3 linked regions of the Caenorhabditis elegans genome follow. The protein of the gene in region 3 interacts with the protein of the main gene of each other region in a pairwise test. Each region holds a gene or a part of one and is shown on either strand. Other genes may lie near its edges.

The links.
Region 1: the proteins of C55C3.1 (region 3) and far-2 interact in a two-hybrid assay, tested with the Caenorhabditis elegans proteins (one large-scale study listed by BioGRID).
Region 2: the proteins of C55C3.1 (region 3) and umps-1 interact in a two-hybrid assay, tested with the Caenorhabditis elegans proteins (one large-scale study listed by BioGRID).

The regions. Positions count from the first base shown.
Region 1 is NC_003281.10:9,079,178-9,083,886, reverse strand, and holds far-2 (Fatty-acid and retinol-binding protein 2), read right to left. Parts: upstream 2,060-4,709; 5' UTR 2,058-2,059; coding exon 1,550-2,057; intron 1,478-1,549; coding exon 1,437-1,477; 3' UTR 1,376-1,436; downstream 1-1,375. Other genes in the region: far-1 (Fatty-acid and retinol-binding protein 1), read left to right, coding at 2,710-2,925, 2,979-3,184, 3,233-3,318, 3,374-3,414. UniProt on the Caenorhabditis elegans protein: Probably binds lipids.
Region 2 is NC_003281.10:10,354,201-10,359,825, forward strand, and holds umps-1 (Orotidine 5'-phosphate decarboxylase), read right to left. Parts: upstream 3,449-5,625; 5' UTR 3,444-3,448; coding exon 3,276-3,443; intron 3,201-3,275; coding exon 2,751-3,200; intron 2,696-2,750; coding exon 1,872-2,695; intron 1,820-1,871; coding exon 1,768-1,819; 3' UTR 1,637-1,767; downstream 1-1,636. Other genes in the region: T07C4.3 (ANK_REP_REGION domain-containing protein), read left to right, coding at 1-65, 107-445, 494-553; spp-1 (Saposin B-type domain-containing protein), read right to left, coding at 942-1,136, 1,186-1,317. UniProt on the Caenorhabditis elegans protein: Bifunctional enzyme which catalyzes the formation of UMP from orotate in the de novo pathway of pyrimidine biosynthesis. May also form UMP from uracil. Regulates the size of gut granules during embryonic development.
Region 3 is NC_003282.8:5,706,868-5,715,872, reverse strand, and holds C55C3.1 (BPI2 domain-containing protein), read right to left. Parts: upstream 6,778-9,005; 5' UTR 6,770-6,777; coding exon 6,587-6,769; intron 6,339-6,586; exon of another isoform or gene 6,318-6,338; intron 6,295-6,317; coding exon 6,182-6,294; intron 6,067-6,181; exon of another isoform or gene 6,046-6,066; intron 5,894-6,045; coding exon 5,813-5,893; intron 5,692-5,812; exon of another isoform or gene 5,671-5,691; intron 5,468-5,670; exon of another isoform or gene 5,447-5,467; coding exon 5,341-5,446; intron 4,973-5,340; exon of another isoform or gene 4,951-4,972; intron 4,935-4,950; coding exon 4,570-4,934; intron 4,492-4,569; exon of another isoform or gene 4,471-4,491; intron 3,969-4,470; exon of another isoform or gene 3,948-3,968; intron 3,803-3,947; exon of another isoform or gene 3,782-3,802; intron 3,750-3,781; coding exon 3,522-3,749; intron 3,495-3,521; exon of another isoform or gene 3,477-3,494; coding exon 3,283-3,476; intron 3,061-3,282; exon of another isoform or gene 3,040-3,060; intron 2,974-3,039; coding exon 2,855-2,973; intron 2,811-2,854; coding exon 2,636-2,810; intron 2,617-2,635; exon of another isoform or gene 2,596-2,616; intron 2,251-2,595; and 11 more.

The sequences.
Region 1 (4,709 bases), on a different chromosome or scaffold from region 3:
TGAAAAATCGATTAAAATTCCACAAAGTTTGAAATCACAGTACTCTTAAAAGGCGCACACCTTTTCACATTTAACAAAACGCATTCGCGTTGAGACCAGGTACCGTATTTTCGACGTAACAATCGAATGATATAACTACGCAAGATTAGTTTTGTTCTGTCAGAGTGAAAGTTTAAAGAATCTGACATAATTCTTCAAGTCAGTTGTTCAATGACCTTTTCAGCCAAACAAATTGAGAAGTACCACATCACACCTGGCTCCATCTTCCATGCATTAATGGGAACAATTTGAGCAATTGGTGGTGATGATAAAAAAGAGATAAAGTTGCACTTTTTCTTTGATTTTTTCATGATTCCTGATTCACCTTTAGTTTTTTTTCTTTTTTACACTGTCTTTGTGCTTTTGAGCTTCTTCTTCTTTCATTTCTCAAAAAGCTGCAAGACATCACGTGACACAATTGAGCCATAGACATACTTTGTGGTTTGTAGTGTGTTATGAAGTGTCTGAAGCGTTCAGAAGATCCCTCTGATGAAACTGAAACAAAACATCTCATTGACTAAGGTTTGCAGGTACATCAAAGTGTAATGGGGTCAATGAAGAGCCTGATGAAATTGATAAAGAGATAAGATGATAGGGATTGGAATGTTCTAGATTCGATTGAAAAAGAGATGGAAAAGTAGAGATCACGGATTGACAAATGCTATGAAGTTCTGCAAATGAGCTTTACAAAAACGCGACCACGATGTCGCACTTTTAACATTTTCTATCAAAAATGTTGAAGAATCGAATTCGAGGAGCATAAAGAATGAAAATCTGTTTTTTTTAATTGAAAATACCATGAAATTCAGTTAATTACAGAAAGCTCCAAAAATGATTGGAAAAAATTAAGCCGCCAGATGTCAAATGCTTTAACTTTTTTCAAAGAAGAGTTGATAACAAATTGTCAATAACAAAAACAAAGAAAACGTTATGACCTATATTTTGTATGTAGAAATTTTTTTTGCAAAACCTATTAGTTTTTGACTTATTCTCTTTTGGAAATTTTGAAAAATTATCAAGTTTTCCTACCTGCGCTTTTCAAACTTCAAAAAACTATGCAACTTGTCCTTCCAGTTTCTGAATTACGTTGTTGGCAAATAAGCTACCGTAACCCTGCACTTTGTACCCAATTCTTTCAACTGCTCAATGGACCTCGGAACCATATTGTTTACAATCACAACAACCACAACAAAACCCATAAACTTTGTGAAGACAACTCGAAAGTTTCGAAAATGTGCTTTACGTGAAGCCGACATGTGGTAGCCATTTGGGATTCATTTCACCGACCAAACTTCAATTCTTTCCATCTTTTCTAGAGAACAATCAATCGTTATTTGAATTAAAATACTTTATTTTGGGGGAAAATAATTGGAAAACCATATCATAATTATTACTTCTTAGTTGACGTATTGTCCGACGATGGCTTGAATCTTTTCGTCTGAAAATAATAAAATTATTGTTTGAATTAAACAATTTGAATGCTCAAAAATCTCAGAATTTTAAAACTCACTTTGGAAGAATCCAGTGAGGATTGGGAACTCAGCGGTGATGGTAGCCTTGGCGTCATCAGAAAGAGCCTTGTATTCAGCGATGTATCCCTTGGCGAGTTCCTTAAGAGAATCAAGAGTTGGCTTATCTCCGGCGAGGTATTGTTGGTGGAGTTCACGTCCCTTGGCGATGATCTTCTTGACAAGAGCCTGAGCGGTGGCATCGAGTTTCTCGAATTTAGCGGTGAGGAGAGCCTCGAGCTTTCCAGCCTTCTCGTAAAGGGATGGAGACTTTTCCTTGAGAGCAGCCTTGAATTCTTCCTCGGTCTTGTATTCCTTGTGGTTTTGGGCGAGTTCCTTAAGAGCAGCCTTCTCCTCAGCGGTGATGGCCTTGAGGTGCTCGGCAACTTCAGCTGGGATGAGTCCCTTGTACTCGGCTGGGATGTCGTCGAAGTTCTGTGGAACCTCTGGGATTGGGGCAGAGAAGACAGCCACGGAGGCAAGGGCTACGACGAGGAAGGCGCGGATCATTACTGCAATATTTTAAATTAGGGGTGGGAAATTTTAAGGTGAAATAGAAATAGAAGGTGATATCAAAGTTAAAGAACCAGTAAACTAGAAAAAAGAAACCATTTAGCAAAGTTTCGAAGTAGAAGATGAAGCTTTGAGCTGCTTCTGCTGTGCCGATTCTGCTCCGCCAGCCGATCTTTTATACGACCTTGGATGATGTATGTTTGAACCTCGTTTCATCAACGAAATAGTGCGTTGAACCATGAGAGTTCCGATGAAATATCACGTTCCCTTCGAGACGCAGACCTCATTTTTCCCTTATTTCTATTATAAAAAACCACTTTTAGTGTAATGAAGTTTAGGAAAAAATGTTTCTTTTTTCTATTTCTATTTCGATTCCCTTTGCTGCTGCTGATTCTTCGCAACTGCTCTATCTCACTGACTCCGCCCATTTGAATTGCTCATTTTCTGAGTCTCTCAAAGGACTACACTCTCGCTAGTTGATTGTAATTCTTCTGGGGTCACCATGTGGTCCGCCTCTTTTTGTTCGACTTTAAAAGATGCTCAGAACAATGGAAATCAACACTTCAGTCTCATTTCGCTTTCTTCTTCTTCTTATTCTTCTTCTTCTTCGTCACATCCCCGATTCTCATAATCTTTCAAATTTTCAGTAATGATCCGTGCCACTATCATCCTCGCCGCTGTCGCTGCCCTCGCCTTCTCTGCTCCAGTCCCGGAGGTCCCAGAGAACTATGACGATATCCCAGCTGAATACAAGTCCCTTATCCCAGCCGAGGTCTCCGAGCATCTTAAGTCCATCACCCCAGAAGAGAAGGCTATTCTTAAGGAGGTCGCCAAGGGATACAAGGACTTCAAGAGCGAGGATGATGTGAGTCTGAAAATTGAAAACTCTAGACCAATAATCAAAATATTAAATTGCAGTTCTTGAACGCCCTCAAGGAAAAGTCTCCAACTCTCCACGAGAAGGCCTCCAAGCTCCACCAAATCGTCAAGGACAAGGTCAACGCTCTCAATGATGAGGCTAAGGCTTTCGTCAAGAAGGCTATCGCTGAAGGACGTAAGATCCACGCTCAATACTTGGCCGGAGAGAAGCCATCCCTCGACACCCTCAAGACCACCGCCAAGACGTAAGTTTCGAGAAAATTACAAATTTCTCTGTCAGGATAACATTTCAGCCACATCGAAGCCTACAAGGGACTTTCCCAAGATGCCAAGGACTCCATCGCCAAGGAATTCCCAATCCTCACCGGATTCTTCAAGAGTGAGTTTAATAAACTTCTAATAATTTTCAATTTAATAATTATATTAATTTTCAGACGAGAAGGTTCAAGCCATGGTCGGACAATACCTCAACTAAATTTCCATTTCGCATTTTCTTTTTGTTTTTAATGTAATAAGCTTAATGGTTGGTTATTGGTTTTCTATAAACTTTGAATCGCAATAAAAACTTGATGCTTTCTGTAATGACTCATTAAATCAGTAGCAGTTGGTATCTCAAACAAATGATGCCCTCACAACAGTAGCATTCGGGCCTCTAAGATAAATTACTTTTAGTGAAAGAACTGATCGGAGACAATTGGAAAGATTTAACGGAGAAAAAAGTCTGCAAAGTCGATGCTTGAGACTTGTCAATTGGCCATTTAAAAAACTTGCACAGAAGTTGCTAGAGATTGGAATTTAAAAAAAACCTAAAAATCAAAGTCCCATCTTATTGCAAGCCTGTCAAAACTTATATTGTTTCAAGTACTCAAAATCAAATAGCATCCTTTCAATTAAGAAACATAACCATATTGATTTTAGGTACTTGGGATCAAATAGCGTTATTTCAGGTTCTAAACAGAGGAATTCACTGTGCTTTAAGGCAGTTGAAGCACTATCCATAATATCTGACATCCACCATCCAACGCTGAACGAGAATAAACGTTGATGCATCTTTGTTGTAGGACCCGAACGTTGACAATCCAGCAAAGAAGAGAATTCCGCCATCCATTCGATGAAGTGTCCAGCTTGTCCAAATGTTTTAAAATGACATAATGATGAAGTTGTTGAATTTATAAAATTATTGTTATCAAGATGTACTTGATTAAAATTTATTTTTAAAAATCATTTGTTATTTTCGACGTTACTGATTTTTATCTATTTTTATACTTTTCACTCATTTCTCAATTCTTAATCAAACCAATGGGCAACTCATCCGCAATTTTCAGAGCGTGTTCAAGATTCTAAAACCACCTCTATACATCAATAATACTATAATGCACAACTAACAACAAACATTAAATCTTTCCAATCATATAATCCCTAATCTTTTCAATCTGCTTCTACCATCTCCAATCATACTCCCTTCTTTTGACAGAAAAATTACGATTATTTTACAATAAGCGGCTCAGATAATCTGAAAAGTATTCCACCCACAACGTCTTAAATTTTCTACACATAGAATAGAAATGCACAAAAACAATCTCGACTTCATTTTTCTTTCACTTTTTCTCTTTTCTCTCTCCGTGTATGTATTTATTTTTTATTTTTCCTTGTGACTTCCATAATCCGCGCACGGCCTCTATTTCCGTACACAATCTCATCTCTTTTTACTTTCAGCATTTTTTTGCGTTTATCTCAGAGCACACATTCATAATTTACATTTTCTCTGAA
Region 2 (5,625 bases), on a different chromosome or scaffold from region 3:
AGATCATCACAGTCATTGAGACTCCATTGAAGGATGATCACCGAAAACGAGCAGATTCCGTGGAGGTTTGCTGATGCGATTTTCTGAATTAAATTATTAAAATTAGTTTCAGAGTGACGCAGATGTTCCATACTCATTGTGCAGTGAAGATGAAGCGGAACCGATGACAATGATCGACAAGTCGATGAAAGTATCACAAAGTGCCGAGCAGTTGTCCCCTGTAAAAGAAGAGCAGAAGGCTAAGACTGTAGTAGTCAACGTCGAGCTGGACGGCAATCGTGCGGATCCCACAATCAAAGATCGCATTGCAGCACTGCAGGCGATAGTGTCAAAGCAACATGTGCCAATCGCAAAAGTGGACAGCGTCGACGATGATGTCAGGATTCTCAGCAGAACCGAGGAGCTTCAACATATGGCACTGGAGGCGAAACCTTCCCCTCAAGCGGTAATTATAAATATTGCTCAAGAAAGTATATTTATTTTAAATTTTCAGCTCGGAGCACTCCGCCGCCGCCACGTTCGATTCATGCGAGGATGCTGCGTTGTCCAGTAGACTTCACCTCCACATCTCACAATCACTCCTCACATCCACGTGTCATAGTGCTTAATTGGTGCTATTAAATCGCCGCTGTAAATTATCAGTCCTCACCACACTCTATATTTTATCCAGATAACTTTCTTTTGTATGTGTGTGTGTGTTTCGAGACAATTATATTCTAATTTCTAATTTTATACCCCCTCCCTTCTACCGTGTGTGGTTTTCTAGTTTACGTGTTCTCAGGGTAGCTGAGAACTTTTCCCCCATTCAACAACTAGAACCAACACGAGTTCTAATTTTTATAACTCTAAAATTCCACGCGCACAAACCAATTTCGCCGTTGTTTCTGTTTTTGTTAAATGAAAGAATATTTTGATGATTTTGAAGGAAACATTTATTATTCTTAGCACAAATCAACATCCTTGCACGCCTTGTCTGGAGAATCCTTGTTCTCAATATCCTTTTTCAGCTCCTTCTTGACCTTCTTCAGCTCTTCCTCACACTCGTGATGCAACGGCAACAGCATAGTCCAGCAAAGAGTTCCGATGTTCACATCAAGCCATGCATCGAGATCATCATCTCCAACCTTCTCTCCACCCTGAAATATGTGAATAACGAGGAAAATTGGAGATATTTGGAGCACAAACCTCGACGAGAGCCTTGCAGACATCACAGAAAACACCGTGATGCTTCTTGAGATTGAGTGGGTTAGCTGGATTGGCTAGAAGTGGAGCAGCGGCGAGCAAGACAAGGAAAAGACACGGAAGAATGCGAGTCATTCTGTAGATTTTAAGATGAAAAACTGGAGAAATGAAGCGAAAATGCACCCGGAGCAGTGATGCTCGTGTCTTTTATCAACTTCGCGGCGGCACTGATAAGGAATCGAATCGTTTCTGATGTTTTCAGCATGGAGGAAAAGATCAAAGGACATTATAGAATACACACCGGGTCGTTCACACATCAGATGCCGATTTTTCGAACTGATAAGATCGCTTAGAGGAGTAGCTTTTCGCCTTGACGGAGAAAATATTGATTAATCAGGTTAGCAGTAAAGTAAATGGTGTGGGCATGTGATTTCTTGATAATTTGAGGAAGATGGAGGCAATCAATTTACTTATTTCAACAATTCTGGGGAAGCTTGAACAAAATCAACAAAGTTAAATAAATACGTAATTAGATAAATATTCACATTTCTTCTTTACAAATAGGCTCTCCGGATTTTTCAACTTTCAAATGCTATCGTCGCTTCTCGTGAGCGCATCCCAGGCGATTTGTCGATATCTGAAAGAGAAAATTGACATTTAAAAATTTAATTAAAAAAAAAAAAACAAACCTCTTGAGCTGCTGAACGGGCTCACTGGACGACGTGACGCCTCTTCCGACGATGATGATGTCGTTCTGCTGTACTTCGATCGCCTCGTCGACACCTCTCCACTGCTGACCGGCCGAGTCGGATTTCGCGTCGAGATTCACACCGGGCGTCCAATTGAGAAGATCCGAGCAAGCAGACACTCTCGTCTGAGTGATGAATCCAGAAATCACGTCACGATTCTCGTTGGCAATCTTGACGGCGGTCTCGGTGTATCCTTCCAGCGCAGTCAAAGATCCTTTGGTGCTGAGCTGCGCGATGAGGAGAACTCCACTGAGCCTGTAAGTCGGATCTTTGGCGAGCTTCCTGAAGACTCCTGCAATGCTGTCACTTCCTTGTACGGCATGAACAGTCACAACATCCGCCCAGTTGGCGATTTTCTGGGCTCCAGTGAGCTGAAGAAGGTTCGTGTTTCCAGTGTCGCCAAACTTCCGATCCTCGAAAATGATAAAGTCCATATCATTTGCCATCGTCGTCAGCTTCCTCGTGAATTCCTCGTTGAAATCGGTGATAGCGTCGGCGTGAAGCTTGATCGCCAGCACAAATGGACCAGCGAGCTCGATCATCTGAAGGCACTGCTCGACGGTAGTGTAGTCGACAGCGAGACACAGATTCGACTTCTTCCGGCGCATGATTCCAAGAATTTTCTTGATGAGTGCAGATTCTGTGAGGGATTCGCGTTCCGCAAGCGGAGTTCGCACGTTTTCCACGTACGGTAGACTGGACAGGTTTTCGAGCTCGCTGTTGATTTCCAGCTTTGTTGGGGAGGTGTACGGAAGGTTGAGAGCCTGAAATAATCAATTATTTTATTTTTAAATAGAAAATCGAGATAATTTGACTAACCTGAACAATTCCGTGCCACTGCTCGTCACCGATCGCTCCAGTTGAGTACAAGAATGTGAGAACTGTTTGCATGTCGAGCAGGCTGTGCAGCGTGACACCCGCGTCCTGGAGCTTCTGACGCCCGCCTTGTTCTCGATCCAGAATGCAAAATACATCCGAGGCGACCAAATTCTCTGTGTGAAGCACTTTTACCACGTCCAGGATGCTTCCACCTGTCGTCACGACGTCTTCGATGAGGATCAGACGATCGTTTGGCTGGTACAATCCCTCGATGAGCTTCTTCGTGCCGTAGGACTTGGCCTCTTTGCGAACGATGAGCAGCGGCTTCTTCAGATAGTTTCCAGCGGCGACTGATGCGTAGGGAAGAGCCGCGTATGGGATTCCAAGAACTCCAGCGTACTGAACCTCGCTAATCTCCACCTGCTTCGATATCGCTTCTGAGATAAGCATCTGGAAATAGTTTTCTTTTAAATAAAAATCATTAAAATAAGCTATTATTTTTTTTTTAAACTTTAAAAAACTCACCAAAAGCCCCGGATGCCCAAAGCATTCGCGAAGATCGATATAAATCGGTGAAATCTGCCCAGACTTGAGCTGAAACTCGCCGAATTTGAAGACGCTCGCTTTGAGCATTTGGCGGAGCAGATTCCGCTTCAGGGCTCCATTTCGGGTTTTGTCGGTGAGCGAGCTCATTTTCTCTGAATAGTACGATTACTTTTTGATGGAAAATAGTAGCGATGAATGTAAAATATAACGATAAGACTGAGGGAGATAATATATACTTGTGCAGAAAGCAGTAGTACGATTTGATAACAAGTTTTGAAGCGGAGAAGAGTAGGAGAAAGAGAACAAAGAGATTGATTGATAAGAAAAAGCTTGGGAAAAGAAATAAAATTGCATTTTGTTCAGATTTCTTAGTTTTACAGCGGGAAAACAGAAAAAGAACGAAAATTGGATTTGAAAAACTATTTTTTGAAGAGAAAACTTGAAGGTTACGGTAGAAGAGAGACAATGCGATGGAGAGAGACGCAGAGAAAGTTGCGTAACATTTGGTGTGCTGTACGCAACACAATGAGAGGGAATTTCAAATTTAGTTTTTCTGCGGGATCTTGTCGATAAATTTAATTAAGTTTTATTTAAATAGGGCTCGAGAAATTTTAAGATTTAAATAATGATTAATCAAAGATATGATGTTATAGTTTCAAATGAATATAAGAAAAACAATTAATAAAAATTTCTCAATGAAAAATAGATGCATTATTTTAAAAATTGTCATATAAACATTATAAACATTATATACCCCTCTAAAATTTTTGACTAGTGACGATCGATATTCCCCAAACGCGAACAGCATATCTGACGCGCAAAATATCTCTTAGCGAAAACTACAGTAATCTTTAAATGACTACTGTAGCGCTTGTGTCGATTTACGGGTTCGATTTTTAAAATTAACTTTAAGAGAAAAGGGAAAATAATACGAAAAAACGAATGAAAATGATATTTCGATGTTACTATTCGAAAAAAAATAACTTCAAAAATTGAGCCCGTAAATCGACACATGCGCTACAGTAGTCATTTTAAGAATTACTGTAGTTTTCGCTACGAGATATTTTGCGCGTAAAATATGCTGCGCAATACGCATTCTCAGGATTTATAGTATTTTAATTCTAAGTTTTCATCAAAAAAAACGTTGTCGGAAAAATTATTTTTTCAAATAATTCAGGCGGGAAATTCAAGCAGTTTAAAATTTCCGAAAAAATTTTGCGGGAGGCTCGAAGTTCTGAATTAAAAAAATCACAGGAACATTTTAAATTTTTAAAATTGTTTTCAGTCAATCTTTACAAAAAACAACATTTCCAACACTTTCCCGTTTCTCCCATAAACTCATTTTCCTGCCCAGCCAAAGTTGTCGTGGTGTGTTCAGTGATGCGTTCACCCAATTATGAGAGCTCTCGAGAGATGACGTTGTTCCTCTTTTCCCCATTCCAGCAACACATTCTAGAGCAATTTAACTAAATTGAGTGTAGCGTGAGTGAGTGCGCGTCCCTTCTAGAAAATAGAAAAAACGAAGCGAAAAAAAGAGAGAGAGAGAAAGGAGTCTCTCGAGAAGCTCATTGTGCATAGTTTTGGAAATTTGAAAATTGCAGAAAAATTCAGCCTCACGATTTTCCCAATATCATGACCCCTGCCTAACTTTGAATTAAAAAAAAAACATTTTTTCTTGAAAACTATTAAAATATATTGTTGAATTTGTTTAATCGCACTACAAATCAGGGGTGGGCGGCAATTGCTCCGGCAAATTTTTTTGTCGACAAATTGCCGGCTTGCCGATTTGCCGAATATCTGATTTGCCGTAAATATTTAGAGGGATTTTTTATAAGACGAAAATACTTAAAACTGTGCCTATTTGAACTTTTCCCGTTTTCTTTAGATATTTTTATATAATTTGCTTACTTTTAAAAATAGATGTATGAACATTCCTAGGATGTGTACAATTTTGCCGATTGAAATTGAAATTCTGAATTTCACAAAAAAACCACAATTTGCCGGTTTGCCGGAAAAATAGTTTTCTGCCTACTCCTGCTACAAATTATTATTATTCAATTTCCAGATTTTCTTCTTCTCCTCCTCCTCTTCATCCTCAATAATTGTATATCCGGGGGTGAGTGTATGTATGTATTTTATTGCCTTTCCTCTCATTTTCCACCCACATTTCCCCCATTTCCTCGTTTTCTTCATTCTTTTTGTTTTTTTTAAGTCACGTCATTCTAATTAGTGGGTGGGAATTTTTCAACAATATTTTTTAATATCTATGTGTTTTTAATAATCCTGATACTAAAATTTTTAAAGAAATCGAAAAGGTTGCTCAAAAATC
Region 3 (9,005 bases):
CATTGGTTTGAAAGTTGGTTTTTTTTCTGTAGTGGAATTTCTGAATTTTATTTTTTTTAATGTCAGATTTAGATTGTTTTAAAGGAAATTCAATCACGATTAACCTTCAAATAAACATCTTTTTACTCCTAACAATGCAAAGAGCACGGAATTCAAATAAAAAATAATCAATTGAACTCAGAATCAAATACTAAAAATGTTTTTTGGAGATTTATATTTCTAATTGTTCAGTACTGATCGTGGTTAATATTGAAAAAAGAATAATCGAATATTGAAAAAAAGTTCTTGAAACAGAGAACAAATATTTTTTACTAAAAACTAAACCTGGTTGAGAGTAGAAAACACGAGAATGATGGGAATAGAAGGCAAAAAATGCAATTTGATTTCAAAATTGACTTTTGTTTTTTCTTGCACACACAACTTCTGTCTGACTTTTCGTACTTTTTTTCTGTTGGCTCAATTTCGGAAGATTCTCGTCTTTTCTAGTTTTGAAGTACTTAACATTTTCTGAGTACCAGTCGTCTTTTTCGTTTTTTTTTTGGAGAGATGACTACAAAATAAAGAGGAATGAAGAGAAAAAAGGTTTCCGAAATTAGATAGGGGGTGCCAAACATCTTCTGACAAAAAGAAGGAAGAGTATGAAGAAAGACAGAAAATTGATGAATCTTTCAGCGGGGAATAGGAGAAAGAAAATCGTGTTGAAAGAAAGTAGGAAAAAAGGAAAAAAAAAAATAAATTTTTACTTTTTTTTGGGTAAACTTTTTTCAGGCGTTTTTTTTTGAAAAGTTGCAAGATAAATGAATGACATGTCATGAGACAGCATTTTAAAAGAAGAAGAAAATTGATGATATCATGGGCAATTTTTATTGAGAGGAAAAAATTACTGGAAGAAAAAATGGACGGAAACTTTTAAAACATTTTCTGAAAAATATTACTCTGACTGAAACTTCTTAAATTATCACGATGGAATTTATTTTTTTAATACGGTTTCTGGTAAGCTTCGAAGAAAAGTTTAATACTGAAAGTAACTTTTATGTTTTCAAATAATAAATTACTGTTTCAGAACAATTTTAAATTGATATTTGTTAAATTTGCTCTGATGATATTAGATAAAGTTATAGATTACTCTGTTTTTTGGCAGTGAAATAAAATAAAACTTTATTAGGCGGGTTTTTATCAAAATGTTTAAAATAAGTGTTCCATCATGTTTTATTTTTATCTTAAATATTTTTTCTGTCAGAAAAAAGATTTAAATTTATGTGACTTACTTGTTTAAAAAGTTATGCCAACTTTGGGTAGAAGTTTCCTTTTACAAAGCTATGAGCATATTCTGAAAATCCGTTTAGTTCATAGCAGTGATTAAATGACTTATTTTCAACTTCAAGCCGTTTTTTTCCACAACAAAAAAATATGTTAAATTAACAAATTTCATATGTACAGACACTTAAATGCAACCCGTGAAACAGCAAAACAGGTGTGATACAATCTGGACTAGAATAATGATAATTTCAATGGGCAAAATAATACAATTCATTTTTAACGAAATATTCTTCTTCCCGAATCGGTTGACCAATTGTTGAAATTAAACTGAGAAATTTGTTGGCGGGCCTCCAGGAATGGAACGGGACGGACCATGCGTCGGAGTGGGCCTGAAATATTTGCATTTGGAATTTCGTGAGTCATAATAAATGTAACGACCAAGCGAACATTTTATGAACTTCATGAAAATGTAAATTCCCATGTTAAGAAAAAATAAACTAACTGAGATTGACATCTGAAAACTGTGGAGTCTTGAAAAATGTTTGAGATGCCAATTTTGATAGCCTCCTCTCATCAACATCCACATCAACTTGAATATGCATTCGTCGGCTCAGAACATTAATGTGACTGTCCTTGATTCGAAGCACTGAACTTTTTTTTAAAATTAAAATATTATTAATTTTTATGCTGTTTCAGATTGTCATTTAATAGTGGTCACTATATTTTTTTAACTAATATGTACGTAACAACACACTGGCGAAAAGGATTTTCATTTAAATAAATTTAGCTTTTTTTCAATATTTTCAGTGGGCGATCGGAAATTTGGTTTAATTTGACTAATACATGTTTTAGGACACAAAAACCAGTGAAAAAACCTAATAATCAACTGTATTGTTTGATTCAAAAACAAATATTTTCTTATACTATTTCAGATTGTCATTTAATAGTTCTAATTAAGTTTTTCACTAATGTTCAACGCTAAAAATTTTTTATGTACCTATTCTTTCTTGCTTTTGAACTATGCGACTCATTCGGCTACTTCAATTACCATAGCAGATGTTTTTTTTTTCAAGTTTAACAAAAATGCTCTCTGACGTTTTGTTTTGAACAGTCGTTTTTACTATAAACTTGCTTCGTAATAATTTAAAAGTAACAAAATGCTAGGAATTTAAGCCGTATCAATTCAAAAAAAATTTTTTTTTGAGGCTTCAGTTCATTTTCTCTCGCTCGAAAAACATATCCTACTTGCAAACAATTTTCTCAAGTTAGGTATTTTTTAAAAGATTTACTGTTTCAAAGTCTGTATAAAAATAATTCGTATCAATTTACTGTTAATTTACCGTTTACTGTACCCTCAATGTATCAATTCGCTTACCATGAGGAAGTGGAATAGGCATACCATTGACCAATAGCCCATTGAGAAGGTTTTCAGACAACTGACTGACTAAAAGAGCAATATCATCAATTTCAGCATCAGAAATATCAACTGTTCCCGTTCGACGCTTTAGATCAAACTTCCGAAGCTCCACAGAACCACTCACGTTGTGCCCCTTAAAATTGGAAACTTATGGTAATGTTTCACAGAACAACTAACCTGAATGGACAGTCTTGCATCTGCAACTACATCCAAATCTACCACAATAACCTGTCGACGCTGGTTTCCGTTTACAGCAAAGACCACAACTAAACCTCCAAGTGAAACGGAAATCGTTCCTGAAAATTCAAAAAATTTGCTGTTTCAGGGAGTTTTTATAATTTTATTCTGCAGCAGAGTTTCAGTGAATCCAATCAATTTTTTGGTATTTACTTTTTCATTTTCTTGGCTAAACAAAACTGAAAATATGTTAAAAGGATTCCGTAAAACGGATATTTTCAAAAACAAAACTTCAACCTTAAAATGAACCCTTGATTGATACCGAATTGTGGTACAAATTTTAGTTCAACACAATGTATCAAAGATGTATCAAGAACTCAGACACATTTCTTTTTAAGTTTCCAAAAGTCCCAGCCCCCAGTACTCACCTCCATTTTTTTCACTGAAAAGCACTGCCGGAGCTCTTGTGGCACTCATTGCCAGCTCAACAGTAGAGTTCGGATATTGCTCGGCGAGCTGTGGAGCCAAATCAGAAATACAAAACGATCCTTCACACGTTGTTCGTAAGAATGAGGAGACACCCTTTGTTCTTGGAGTTAATAATACTTTTATGAATCTTTGTCTAGAATAAATCAACTTATTAAAATTTAAAAAAAGATGAACTTACACATAGGCATGATAAAGCAGTGAATTTGGTAAAAAGTCGGATACAACTAATTCAATCATCGAGTCTTTATTTGTCACTGAATCTACAACATTTGTCTTGAAAGGTGATCTTCCTGGCCATGAAGCATCAACTGGTCCAAATGGAGTGTCGCCTTGTCCCATAAATGAGATTTCACCCCAAGATGCTAGTTCTACAGTGTTTTCTTGGCAAATTGGGTGTTCTTTTAGTCTGAAACAAAGTTTGAAGAATGTGGCAAACCTCTGCGTCTATGGAAAATGGCAATAGCAGAATTATTGCTGTTACGTTAAATTTACTAGATGAAACAGTAAAAAATCAAAATTTTGAACAGCTACATTTTGGATCAATAAAAAAAAGCTCAAACTTTTTTAAAAATTTGATATCTTTCCAAATCTTTTACCAAAATGTTGAATGAGCTTACAACATTTGAGAACTTTTTTTTTTTAAATATATGCATCTCTTTTTTGAGCCCATTTTTAGTATACATATCTCGGTAAAATCCCGAAAAAGAAAATTAAATTGAAAAACGAAAAAAAAAATACTGAAAGTATATTATTGCTTTTTTTCCTGGTCCGCTATTCTGAAATTGGTACTGACAAGTAAAAATAATGTTAGACGCGAAGGGTCGGAAATTTAAAAAAAAATTAAAGTAAAGTAAAATTTAATGCATGAAAAATCGTAATTTTGCACCGCCTTTATCTAGCTATTTCTTCGATAATTAAATGTTTGAAGCCTTATATTAGATTTTGATAAACTTAAAAACGTAAAACATTTTTACAGGATGTTTACCATTTTTTTTCTCAAACACGATATTTAATTTACTCGAAACAAGTTTTTCAATTAACAATGATCATTTTATGTTTTCGAAGTTTATCAAAACCTTATGAAATTTTCATAAAATCCATCGTTGAATACCAGAAGCAGAAAAAAAACTTATGAAAAAAAGACACCAGTAGAGCTCAAATGAAGCTTTTTTGTCAAAATTACACTTTGAAACAGTAAAAATTTGAACAAATAAATATCCACATACCTGAAATCAATGAAAAATTTGGATGCCAACGATGAATCAAATATGCTTGAAATATCAATTCTTGATTTCTCATCTCCTCCAACCGATATCATTTTTAATGCATTTGTCTCCAAAGCATCTGCCAATTTACTTGATGTTTGCGCTTCTGCCAACTTCTCATTTGCATCTTCATCTATATATTTTCGAACTTTCTTGCAAATTATTGTTTGAAGCATATGCCGGACATTATCGGAAACTCCTTGTTTAAACACTGAAACTGCTAATCCAAAGAGTCCTCCGTTGTGATTTGTAACAGTTACATCTCTGATTGTGGCAAGGCAAGACAGAGAAGTTACTTTTGCTGATCCATTTTTACCTTTTTCGATCTAAACATTGAGCTACAGTTATCGCAACTTCAGATAAATTGAAAAACAAATTTTGTGCAGAATTTCTAAATATACCGAAACAGGTTTTTTTTTTCAAATTTTTTAAAACTTTATTTTCAGACTTTTGAAGTTTATACGCAATTTTGTTCCCATTTTGACTTCAAAATTGAACGTGAACACGAGTAGTTTGCCCCTAGCCGATTGTTTGAAAAATTTGAGATCCCCCAAACAGTTTTTTTAAAATGTGTTTTATTGTTATATTTTTAGAAAATTGCAGTTGTAACATTCTGCCGACTATTGAAAACTAACTGAAACAGTAAAGATTTTTTAAAAAAATTTTGCTGAATACTGCATTATTTTACTTTCAGTTAAATAAAAATTGTATGTTACTTTTTAAAAAACTCACCGAAGACTCCAAATGAAAAGTAAGTCCTTGTGCAAGAATCTCAACTTGTCCGGTCAAGTTAAGTGGAACCACTATGTTTACAGATCCACTCAAGTCTCCTAATAATCTGAAACAGAAATTAGGTTGAACAAGCTAGAACTTTGACGAAGTTATATTAAATTTTGTTGAAACAGTTATTTTTTATAGAAATGTGCACTTGAAATAATAAAAACGCAGATCGTGTTAGATATCAAAAATTATGCCTAGTTTTTTGAAGTATCATACGTTTTTTTTTTTCAACTCAAATTTTGCCGTTAGTTTAAAGATAAAAAGTCAAAAATTTTAAGCATGTATTTTTGAAATCACGAAATACTAGACTTGTTTTTTGTTCTTTCATTTAAAATGTATTAGAAACATGACCGATTTGGGAGCACATTAAACACCTTTTTTGACATTTACAAAGTATTATGCAAATTTTTCCACAAAAACTAACCCAATATCCATATTCTGCATAGTCCATGAGATTTTATTTGGTGCCGTGGAATTTAGTTGATGATGCTCCGCTCGGCGGAATCTGGAAATTTCTGGATTGTTTTTTTAGTGCAATTGAATATTGAAATTATCAGAAAACATTTTTAGAACTTTTTCATTTCCAACAAAATTTAAACGAATGTTCAAAGTGTTTAATAACTTCTAAATCTGTTGAATTTTGTCCAAATATTTTATTCGCTAAACGTCCTGTTACAACTTTCTTATTTGTTGCAACATATGTTTTAATCTTATAACTGGAACATGTAATTTTTATGGTTTTCTTATTCCGTCTTTTTAATCTTATCACAACAATTGTGTAACGATACCTTACCGTGATAAATGGACTTTCGAAATGTAGATAATACCCTGATTACTTGGCAAAATGTGCTCGACGTCTGGAAGTATGAGTCGGGGCAATTGATCTGCGAGTAGGTTGGCTGCTAACTGAAATGTTTTTATTATCAATTTTTGAAATAGTGGAACAAAAAGCACACTTTGAAAAAATTAATTCAATTAACAGATTCGTGAAACATTGAAAAATTTCAACTAATTATTTTAAAAAAATCACTAATGAGCAAAATACTGGAAACTGAACATGAAGTCAAACTTAAAGTATTTGAATTTATATTTCCCGCGCAAATGAATTTACGAAGAAATCGAATTCGATTTTCTTCGTTGTTGCCGGAATTTTTCAGTTTTTATTTTTGTGCTAACTTCTACTACGAGAAAAACCTACATGATTCAAGTAGGCCAATCCACGTGGCAATATTCTGACTCGAACTCCTGGAAGTGTCCGTGGAGCAGCGAGAAGTGGATGGAAATTGTGTTCACTGTCAATTGAGCCGATAAAAGTGATAAATAGAGCGGAAGCCACTAAAATTAGAAATGATGGGAAGTTTTGATTGCAGCATCTCGTCATTAATATCTGGAAATTTATTGATTAACTGTGAAACGGTATGAATAGAAAAATCGAAAACTATATTCTAACCAAGTCGAAGATTGTTCAAAGTGACCATTTATCTCTCAATTTCCTTATCAACAGATAGGTCACACTAGCTGATAAAGTGTAAAGAAAAGGATAAAAGTGAGAAGAAGCCAAAAAGGTGACAGTTGTATTTGGCTAATTGGCTAATGCATTTCTCTTTTTGCAAGAACACAACGTGTTCTTGTGGATTTGATCAAACTATTGGGATATTGGGAAATATTTCAGTTATATTTAAATTATTTTGGCTGAAAACTATTTCCGTAATTGGTTACATTGAAAAGTAGAAGCTCGACATGCCTGTACCATTCAAGGAACTGAAAAGATTGTAATACATTTTAATTTGATAAGTCTTTGAAACGGTAAAGATATTTTTCTTCAAAACAAAATTTTAAAACACCACAAAACATTTTTGTAATTTTTTGTTTCTTTCATGGTATGTGGAATGTTTTAGAATGTTTTATTTAATGCTTTGTTTTATTTAAGTGGAATGTTTTATTTAACCCAGCGTGGAATAATTTTTCAATAAACTGTTGAAGTATATGTGGATATGTTGAAACAGACTATCATTGTAATGCCGAAGTAAATAAATAAAATTTTTGAAAAATGTAACTTTTACTGATTCATGAAATTGTTTTATTATTGTCAACAACGAAACGCAATGATGAACATGTTCTTGGGATATTTATAGCTTTTTGATTGAAGCTTATTTTGTAAAAATTTTTATCAATCACAAAAAAACCTGCAATTTGTATGGATTCATGTTGTAAAATTTTACTGTTATTAAATTTTTCCTGCGATAATTTGAAATCGAACTTTGAGCTATAATGATACTTTTTTAAACACTGAGTTTCAAACCTGTTGTTTCGAGAGACATATATCCTCGAGGTTTACATGTTTTCTTGTATACTAAACCCAATAAAACTAAAAAATCCAGACATGTTACCAAAAAAATTATTGCTGGTCTGAAAACGGAGATGGAAACCGATAGTGTGAAAAACTGGAAGAGAAACATTTTTATCATGACCAAACAATTACTTTACAAATAAACTATTTGAATATGTGGACATGTTGAAATAGACTATCTTTGCAATTCCAAAATTCAACCGAAGTAGAACCCACAATTTCATAATCACATCCAAAAATAATTTAAAAATTATTGTGCGGCAAATTTGACGAATTTGCCGAATTTGCCGTTTACCGAGCTTGGCAAATTTCAAAATTCGCCGCACACAGCAACAATTTGACAGTACAAATTTGACCAAAACTATTGATTTTGTCCCCAAAGATTTAGTAAAATGACACAAAATTGAATTATTTTGATGATTAAGCAGACACACCACAAGGAGTTCATTCAGAAACCAGATGTGTGGTAAGAATTCAATAGATTTGGTGCTCCAAAAAAAATTAAAAAAAAAAACAAATTTTTCGGAGTTTGTTAAGAACTGCAAGTATTGGAAAAAGAGATCTGCCAAATTTGCCAAGCTCTACAAATGTAAAAAAAATTTAGTGGGCAAGATAGTGGGAAAAAGAGTGAGACTAAACAATTATTCAATAAACTATCTAAATATCTGGAAATGTTGAAACAGACTATTTTTCCAATTCCAAAATTCAAACGAAGTAGAATCCAGAATCTCATAATCACACCCAAAAATTAATTTAAAAAAATATACAAAATGTTCAATTAATTCATTTAGAAGGTTTACACATTTGTTTGCCTTGATTTCTGAATTAAAGTGCTGATCTGAGAAAACACATATATCTAAAAAATTATAGTATCTTTGTGAAATTGAACAAAAACCCAGAACGTTAGCTTCACATTTACCAGAAAAAAAATCAAACTAGAATATCCAGATCGTACTAAAAATCGCCGCCAAAAAATAATTTTCGGACTAGAAACACGAAGATGAAAACCAAAAAGTGGCAACAGCTGGAAAAGAAACATTCTAGTTAGTGATTATGAGATAAAAAAGAATCAAATGGAATAAATGAGATAGTACTCAATTGAAAAGACAGAGAAATGAAGAAAACCCAATTGATGAATGAAAAGCATAAGATGGAGTCTAAGAGAGAGAGAGAGAGAGAGAGAGAGAGAGAGAGAGAGAGAGAGAGAGAGAGAGAGAAGAGAGAGAGAGAGAGAGAGAGAGAGAGAGAGAGAGAGTTGCCTGTCGCC